Saccharomyces cerevisiae S288C: one gene and its partner. Changing the gene in region 1 together with any one later gene gives a genetic interaction. Each region holds a gene or a part of one and is shown on either strand. Other genes may lie near its edges.

Region 1 (5,086 bases):
GGTGGGATTAGGTAATCTAGCGCACATGTAATCTCCTCTTCACTGCCGCCGTTACTGTTATTTGGAGCCGTCTGCTTCGCACTTGCGGCCTTCTTTTCTTTGTATTTTGGTAATTTTTCCAGATTGGACTGTGTGAAAAACTTCACGTATGGGGGTGGAGGTGGGTACAAGGAGCTAACCTCATTACCAGGATCATTGGACATTTTTAGTTTGTGAATTTTTTTTTTACTAGCTTAAATTTGGGATATGAAACCTCTTTTATGTCATATTTGCACGTCTAATGACCTGCCTGCTGAAAATGCAAGATTCGTTGTTTAAGTTCTAACTAACATTTCGTATTTCGTGATAATAGTTTCTTTTAAAGGTGTGAAGAGGGAGATCATGAAACCCACAATAGACGTATGGGCTTCAATATGTGCAATGTTGGTTGCTACTAAATGTCTTTCTCCAGTGGCAGAGAACTTTAAAGAGAAATAGTTCAACATGAGCAACGAAGTTGACAGGATGGATGTTGATGAAGATGAATCGCAAAATATTGCGCAAAGCTCAAACCAAAGTGCGCCAGTGGAAACCAAAAAGAAGAGATTTGAAATTAAGAAATGGACCGCAGTGGCGTTTTGGTCATGGGATATAGCTGTTGACAACTGTGCTATTTGCAGGAACCATATAATGGAACCATGCATTGAATGCCAGCCAAAGGCCATGACGGACACTGATAATGAATGTGTAGCAGCCTGGGGTGTCTGTAATCACGCTTTCCATTTGCACTGTATTAATAAATGGATCAAGACAAGAGACGCATGCCCATTAGATAACCAACCTTGGCAGTTAGCAAGATGCGGTAGGTGAAAAAATGAATTGCCCGTAAACATTTAAATCATACCGAGGTAGAAGGATTATGGCATGTTCCTTTTTTTTTAGAGTATGTCAACTGGCGCAGTAGATACATGTTTTTCTCTTCCACGTCGAATTTTGTTATATACATAGCATAATCGAGTTGTATGCACCCTTTTTGTTTATCTCGTTAGTAACTCGGGGTAGGAATAAGACATCCACAAAGGTGACAGAACAAAATCATCCTAGCCTTGTTCATAATCTACCTCTATATAGCCGCTAAAAAATTAGTAGTATTTTGACTCTTTAAGAGCACATTTATTATCAGGCTGCTTTTACATACTTCTTTTGTTTAAAACATTTAAAGACGATCACTGCCCTTCCAAAGGACAAATATATATACACAAACACTAGGCCAAAAGTTCACTTATAATAATTTAGTGGTAATTATGTTGGGTAAAGAAATTGCCAATAGTCTTTTTTTTCCGTATTGTAAGGTGAGACTGAGGTAGCGGCACAAAAAAACGACACATAATAGGATACTGAGTAAAGCAGTATTAAAATAAAAAAATATATTTTACCTCGAACGCTACAAATAAAGCAGAAAAGAACAAAATCGTGAGCATGATGGTTTTTTCGAGCACCTTTATTTTTCTAATTTTGGAGTTAGTTGTACTGTGTGAAGCTTCAGTCCACACCATTCAAATTAAGGACAAGCATTTCGTTGACACAGTGACTGGAAAACCATTCTTCATCAAAGGTGTGGATTATCAGCCAGGAGGCTCTTCCGACGTTAGTGAAAAGCAGGATCCGTTATCCAATCCAGATGCATGCGCTCGTGATATTTTATTATTTCAAGAATTGGGAATAAACACAGTAAGAATTTATTCTATAAACCCGGACCTGAACCATGATGCGTGCATGACTATGCTCGCAATGGCAGGTATCTATCTTATATTGGATGTCAATTCCCCATTGCAAAACCAGCACTTAAACAGATATGAACCTTGGACTACCTATAATGAAGTTTATTTAGAACACGTTTTCAAGGTTGTCGAACAATTTTCTCATTACAATAATACTTTAGGATTTTTTGCTGGGAATGAAATTGTAAACGACAAAAGATCAGCACAATATTCTCCTGCCTATGTCAAGGAGTTGATTGGAACTATGAAGAATTACATAAGCGCACACTCGCCCAGAACAATTCCGGTAGGTTACTCTGCTGCAGATGACCTGAACTATAGGGTATCACTGTCCGAATATTTGGAGTGTAAAGATGATGATAAGCCAGAGAATAGCGTTGATTTTTACGGAGTTAACTCCTACCAATGGTGTGGCCAACAAACTATGCAAACTTCAGGGTACGATACATTGGTGGATGCTTACAGGAGCTATTCCAAGCCAGTTTTTTTTTCAGAATTTGGATGCAATAAAGTATTGCCAAGGCAATTCCAGGAAATAGGTTATTTGTTTTCTGAGGAGATGTATTCAGTATTCTGTGGAGGTCTGGTTTACGAATTTTCACAGGAGGATAATAATTATGGGTTAGTTGAATATCAAGAAGATGATTCAGTACAGCTCTTAGCAGATTTTGAGAAGCTTAAATCGCACTACCAAAACATTGAGTTTCCTTCTATGAAGACTTTAAAGGAAACTGTTCAGATGGAGGAGACGCCATCATGTGCGGAAGATTATGAAAATTTGAAGATTGAATCTAAAATTGCTAAAAATTTAGGAAGTTCTTTGATAAAAAAAGGCGTGAAAGTTGAAAAAGGCAAATACATAGATATTCACGAGGATCAGCTGTCCACCAATGTCACGATTTTAGACAAGCATGGTGACAGATGGAATGGGCCCAAAAAGATTGAAATTAGGCAAAGCCTGACATTGGCAGACCTGGAAGGAGAAGAACAAGAAGACGCAGATGAAGACAAAGATGATTTAAAACGAAAACACCGGAATTCTGCCTCTATTTCCGGCCCATTGTTACCTCTTGGGTTGTGTTTGCTTTTTTTTACTTTTAGTTTATTTTTTTAGACTTTAATGTCGTTCTCCCTTTTTAAAGAGTAAATACATATTTAAAAAAGTGACTATGGCTATTGCTAAACGTGATAAAAATCAGAGCCTATAACACTCTCTGAAATAACGCTATGCAGGAATTTCCAGTTAAGTTCTTCTTGGGGTGACTTCTTTACTCGGTATGATATGTGTTTTATATGCACAGTACGAGTCCATTAGGGTAAATTAGTGGCCGAGAAACTTTTGCCGCCGAGCTTTTAAGTATCCTTTTGCCACTTCTTATTTAGATAAAGACCTGGCAGTAGTAGTCGTAGAAGATAAGATAGACAGAGAATGAATACTAATAAGATAGCACAAGACGAAGTCCAAGATAAGGTTTTGCAAAGAGCAGAACTAGCACATTCTGTATGGAACTTAAGGTTCAACCTCAGTAAAGTTGCCAAACGGATTCGCATGGAAACAAAGGTATTTCCAGAGATAAAGATAAATGACGCGCAATCACAGTTAGAGCGATCTAGGTGTAGAATATTTAGCCCTGACCTGGAGGAAGAACATGTGCCCTTGATTCAAGGCTTTAAATGTTTGGATTCACCCCCTCCCGTTCCACCAAGCTCATCGCAGGGGGAGGATGAAGAGAACACGGTAGATTCGCAATACTAGGAAATTAGAACCGAATCAAAATAGTTCCGATCCTAACTTTTCTACTAATCTTTGAGATTTTATCTCATTAACTCTTTGACCAAGCTATGAAATGCGTAAGATGAACTTTTGTTTGAGAGTGTTAAGTATTTAGGCGTCTACGCTATGATAGCCTCACTCTAGGACGACTGCTTTTTTGGAACAACTTGTTGTTCTCCGATGGTATATTGTGTGTTTATGTATTGTTCTACGTACTCCTCCGTCTCTTTTTCGAGGGCAACGCTTTGAACTAGTATTTTCCGTTATAGTATGTCCCCCCTATATGCAACCCCTTGAATGGACGAATCTCTAAAATATACAACCTTTTCCTCTATAGGAAACAAGTAGGGTCTTCTACGCTAAGGATTACATAACGCATGTATCAAAAACTGATTTTAATTGATTAATTTCAAAATGTCAGCGTAGGTTCACCTAGACTTGTTTTATAGCTCCATTCAACTGGCGGTAGACACAACTAAAGCCAAAAATTGCCTAAAAATTTCAGTACTCTGGCAGCATCTACTCATTTAATTGCCGTAATACATGGGACTCAATGATCCTTAATATGCTAAATGCTACCCCTCCTTTTTTCTTTTTTATTCCTCATAAAATTGCAAATATCGCAAGCACGTTTTTACTCAGCCCGTCCGCTTTGAGATACAAAAACGATATCTGAAATTAAAATTTTCTCTGGAACATGGTCCATCGAACTAATTATGCATAATAACGTACGTTCCTATCCTATGAACACTTTTCTTTTTCTGGATAAACTGACTTAACAGTAGAAAACGTAGTGTGCAAGGCCATCCTTCAATATAGACTCAAAATTAGAAAGAGTGCCCTGATTAGTTGAGTTTTTCCTTCTATAAGCAAGAAAAATATCATCCTGACAAGAGACAGGTATTATATAAAATATTTCTACATGGAAGTATACTGTTAGTTGAACATAAATTCAACAAAAGGATACCATTACTTCTTCTCAAAGATCATCGAATATTGCTAGAAAGCGTAAAAGCATTTTACCATGTCATCATCCTCAAGTTCATCAGAGTCATCGCCTAATTTATCGCGGTCAAACTCACTGGCTAACACGATGGTTTCCATGAAAACAGAAGACCATACGGGATTGTACGACCATAGGCAGCACCCTGACTCACTGCCGGTCCGTCACCAACCTCCAACATTGAAGAACAAGGAAATTGCTAAGTCCACTAAACCTTCTATTCCTAAGGAGCAGAAGAGTGCAACGAGATACAACAGCCATGTGGATGTGGGAAGCGTACCCAGTAGGGGCCGCATGGATTTTGAAGATGAAGGGCAGGGTATGGATGAAACGGTTGCTCATCATCAATTGAGGGCATCTGCCATTTTAACTTCTAACGCGAGGCCTTCCAGACTAGCCCACTCCATGCCACATCAAAGGCAGCTTTATGTGGAAAGTAATATACACACACCACCAAAGGATGTAGGTGTAAAGAGAGACTATACTATGTCATCTTCTACTGCATCATCAGGTAACAAATCCAAGCTGAGCGCATCTTCCTCGGCAAGT
Region 2 (3,726 bases), 390 kb from region 1:
AATTGCTCCTTGGCATCCTATGTGCTGCATACTAAAAAATTTTTAGCCACGTAGTTGTATACTTTTGTTTCCGGGGATGAGAAATTAGCCCCAGGTCCCAGACTTACAACAAGGTAGATAGGGGGGCGCACCTTGTCGTCATGAGACCCATTTCGTAGAAACTTGAATTTGTTGTTGTTACTTCTGTTTTCAAGTAGGAGTAACGAGGCCGCGTACAATTTGCCAGTGGATTTGTCGCCTGCAGCAGCGGCCGCGACGCGACGGGTTGATCCAATTTTGTGCTTGCTTCTTCAACTGAATATTTTGAGTCCACTGCATGTGGAAAACAGAGTTTTCAGTCAGTCTTGTATGTATATTATTCTCTTTAGCTCCAGAATTTCTGCTGTGCTTAGTAACTTCTTGCCGTTGAGCTGATTTTAGTAGTATAATTTTTTTGCAACTCTACTGATATCAAGAGCAGTGATATGTGCTTTAATGTTGGCATTTCTTTCAAGCCAATCACCTTCTACCATTGGTCACGGTCTCAGTATATTTGTCGTAAATATTAGTACTCTAGTCTGGTCAGAGAAGTGGCCTTTCTCCCACCAAAACGTTGTTGTTCTGTCTTTTTTCTTATTATTTACTATTTATTGGATTTATCAAAAATTCCTCAGGAACAAGATTTAATATTCTTGAAAATCCTGTATGTCATAAATCATGAGCTTGGAAATTGACACGAAATATCGGATGGCACTACTTGATGATCGTTTTTATCACTACCGCTGTACTTTAATTTCATAATTTATTTGGTGACATTTCTCTTGAAGATCTGGCAAGATGTACACGGGGAGCTCCTTCAACTGTTAAAAATATTTTTAAAAGTAAAGACGTCACCATACTTTTTCACCATAAGAACAATTACTGGTCCAGATTAAGAACGGTTGGAGTAAGAGCCAATTATCATTCATTGACTGGTATTTCCTTTTGAACTATATTATCATATAATAGGTAAGAAGATGGCAAAAAGGAAGGAGAAACAGTGGTCTGATGTGATAGGGAAGTAAATGTCAACAAATACCTAACAGTACTATCTGATCGAACAAAGAAATTCCACCAAACTGTCAGTAAATTTATTTAATGAGCAGCAAGGACATAGTGCACAACTAGCACTCTACTTCGATTGGGTTATTGAGGAAGAGGATAGTATGCCCGGAATTTTCAAGCATTTACATGATTATGGTTTCATTGGGGTGCAAGAAGACCCAGCATGATTAGATTGCTATGTACTCATTATATAATATATCTCCGATGAATATATTTCCGAAAGTTTACTGAAGGCGACCTTGGATAAACCATAGTTTTACGGCAAATACACCATATCACTATTTTCTTTCTATATAGCTTTGCTAAGGCTTTTTTTAGTGACCGAGACAAAGAAGAAAATTTTCCATAAATGAAAGACCATTGTTTATTCCGAATCAAGTTTTCCGAAGAATTGTTGTATTACACAGTCCAGAGACAGCAGAATCTTTCAGAAATTTTAATACTGTTGTGACAGCATCTTGTCTATTATTTATTGGATACGCAAAACTCATTTTTTTAAAATTTTTTTTATAATTTCCTTTAAATAAAAAGGTTAAAGCTGGGAAAAATGCATCTAAATAATAAACTAATGATTTAGTTTCCCTCATTTAAAATATCTAAGAAGGACAGAACTTTGTTTGGGGTACTTACCCTTGAGTATTTTTAGCGATTATTCTTGGAGTTCTCAGCCAGAAGATTAAAAGAATATATGTTACTGAATGCAGTGTGATACTCAAGACTAAGTAGTCTTAACAACAAGTTAACAAGGGCGTGTGGTCTAGTGGTATGATTCTCGCTTTGGGCGACTTCCTGACTAACAGGAAGACAAAGCATGCGAGAGGCCCTGGGTTCAATTCCCAGCTCGCCCCTTTTATTTTTGATTATTTATTTCCTATTGGTCGGGTAACAGATTTTTTTTATTTTTTTCAAGGCCCTTTTGTTTTGTAAACAAAGAAATTTCACAAAGTGAGCGTCTACTAATATTGATAATGCCATTTCCACATTACAACTACTGCTAGGCGCAGGGTTATATTACTTACACACGCATATATATGTTTAATTGGGTATAGAGGGGTTATTGTTTGACCATGCCGAAGAGAAAAATTGCTCCTAACAAGGAAAGCAGCAGGCGTACGGTCTCCCACGATGATTTAACCCCACAAATACAAGAATTTCAAAACCTAATGGATCTCGAATCGCAAAAAGTGGAAAACATCAGACAGTCGTATTCGAGGCAAAACTCCCTGCTGGCCAAGGATAACTCCATATTAAAAATTAAAGTTAATAGCTTGGAAAAAAAAATAAGCCAGCTGGTACAAGAAAACGTGACTCTACGATCTAAAACCTCTATAAGCGAAGCTATCTACAGGGAACGGTTAAGTAATCAACTACAAGTCATTGAAAACGGTATTATTCAAAGATTTGACGAAATTTTTTATATGTTTGAGAACGTACGTAAAAACGAAAATTTGCCCAGTTCGAGCTTAAGAACAATGTTGAAGAGAACGAGTTCCAGGTCAAGATCATGCTCATTGTCATCACCCACATACTCAAAAAGTTACACTAGGTTATCAAATCACGAGAATAACCTGTCGCATGAATCAAGTTTTAACAAGGACGATGGTCCAGATCTTGAGCCTAAGGCTAAAAAAAGGAAGAGTTCTAGGCGGCAATCTATGTTTGTATCCACGAGTTTAGAACCTGAAGACGAAACCGGTGAAAACGAACCCATGATGGAAAATTCCTCTGTAGAGGTACCGGCAGAATCACACGAGTCTGCGCAAGTGGAGGAAACAATAGATGCCTTAAACCCTGAAGAGGAAAATAGCGATTCTGTCAGTAATTTTACCAATTCAATTATAGAATACTCCATACCAGAGGAGAATCCGACAGAACCCGAGCATTCATCTTCTAAACTAGAAATATTCAATGACAGTACAAATATGCTAAGTACAGTGCCGTCAAATCCTTTGCCGTTGCCTTTACCAGGCCCATCCGCAACTTTACCTACTACCACTAGCGATGCTTCAACGGTCTATCCTTCATCAAGTTCTTCTACTAATTCTCATCCAAAGACCAAAATTAAGCATTCCATGAAGCCGCCTAGGATAGAACTGAAGAAAAAGGTTATTGACGAAGTCATGCCCGTAAGTAACATGAGCAGCAACAGCGAAATATCATTTACGAGAACTAGAAGAACTCGTGGTAAAGCTGTAGATTACACTTTGCCTTCTTTAAGAGCCAAAATGAGGAGGCCTTCAGAAAAACTTGTGGATGCTACTACTGTGATTGATATACATGATCTACAGGTTTCCAAGAGAAATCGGGAAACTTCACATAAAAGGAAAAGTTTATCCCAAGATTCAATACCCGACGAACCGCAATTGAGAGAAGTCGTCGTCTCAAAGGATTATGGAACTCCAAAAGGGAAAAAAACGGAAGATGAAATACACGAGGATACCGCTCATCTAATGACCACTTCCAACAACAACAGCAACAACAAAAACGAAAAAAAACTAACTAGCAACAATAGCCCTAAAAAATCGTCGCCTTTACTTGACATTACAAATAAATCGGAGAATAAGAAAAAGTCAACAAGAACTAAAAAATTGTTCAAAAATGCAATTGTCAATAATTTATCTGATGAAAATTCTACTACGCGAC

The links. A genetic interaction does not mean that the proteins touch.
Region 2: mutations in YOL131W (region 1) and YOR072W-B together harm fitness more than expected from each alone (negative genetic interaction), as found in Saccharomyces cerevisiae (one large-scale study listed by BioGRID).

Annotation. Positions count from the first base shown.
Region 1 is NC_001147.6:69,842-74,927, forward strand, and holds YOL131W (uncharacterized protein), read left to right. Parts: upstream 1-3,189; coding exon 3,190-3,516; downstream 3,517-5,086. Other genes in the region: mediator complex subunit MED7, read right to left, coding at 1-203; SCF ubiquitin ligase complex subunit HRT1, read left to right, coding at 484-849; GAS4 (1,3-beta-glucanosyltransferase), read left to right, coding at 1,459-2,874; Mg(2+) transporter ALR1, read left to right, coding at 4,559-5,086.
Region 2 is NC_001147.6:462,621-466,346, forward strand, and holds YOR072W-B (uncharacterized protein), read left to right. Parts: upstream 1-1,848; coding exon 1,849-2,010; downstream 2,011-3,726. Other genes in the region: SGO1 (Sgo1p), read left to right, coding at 2,151-3,726.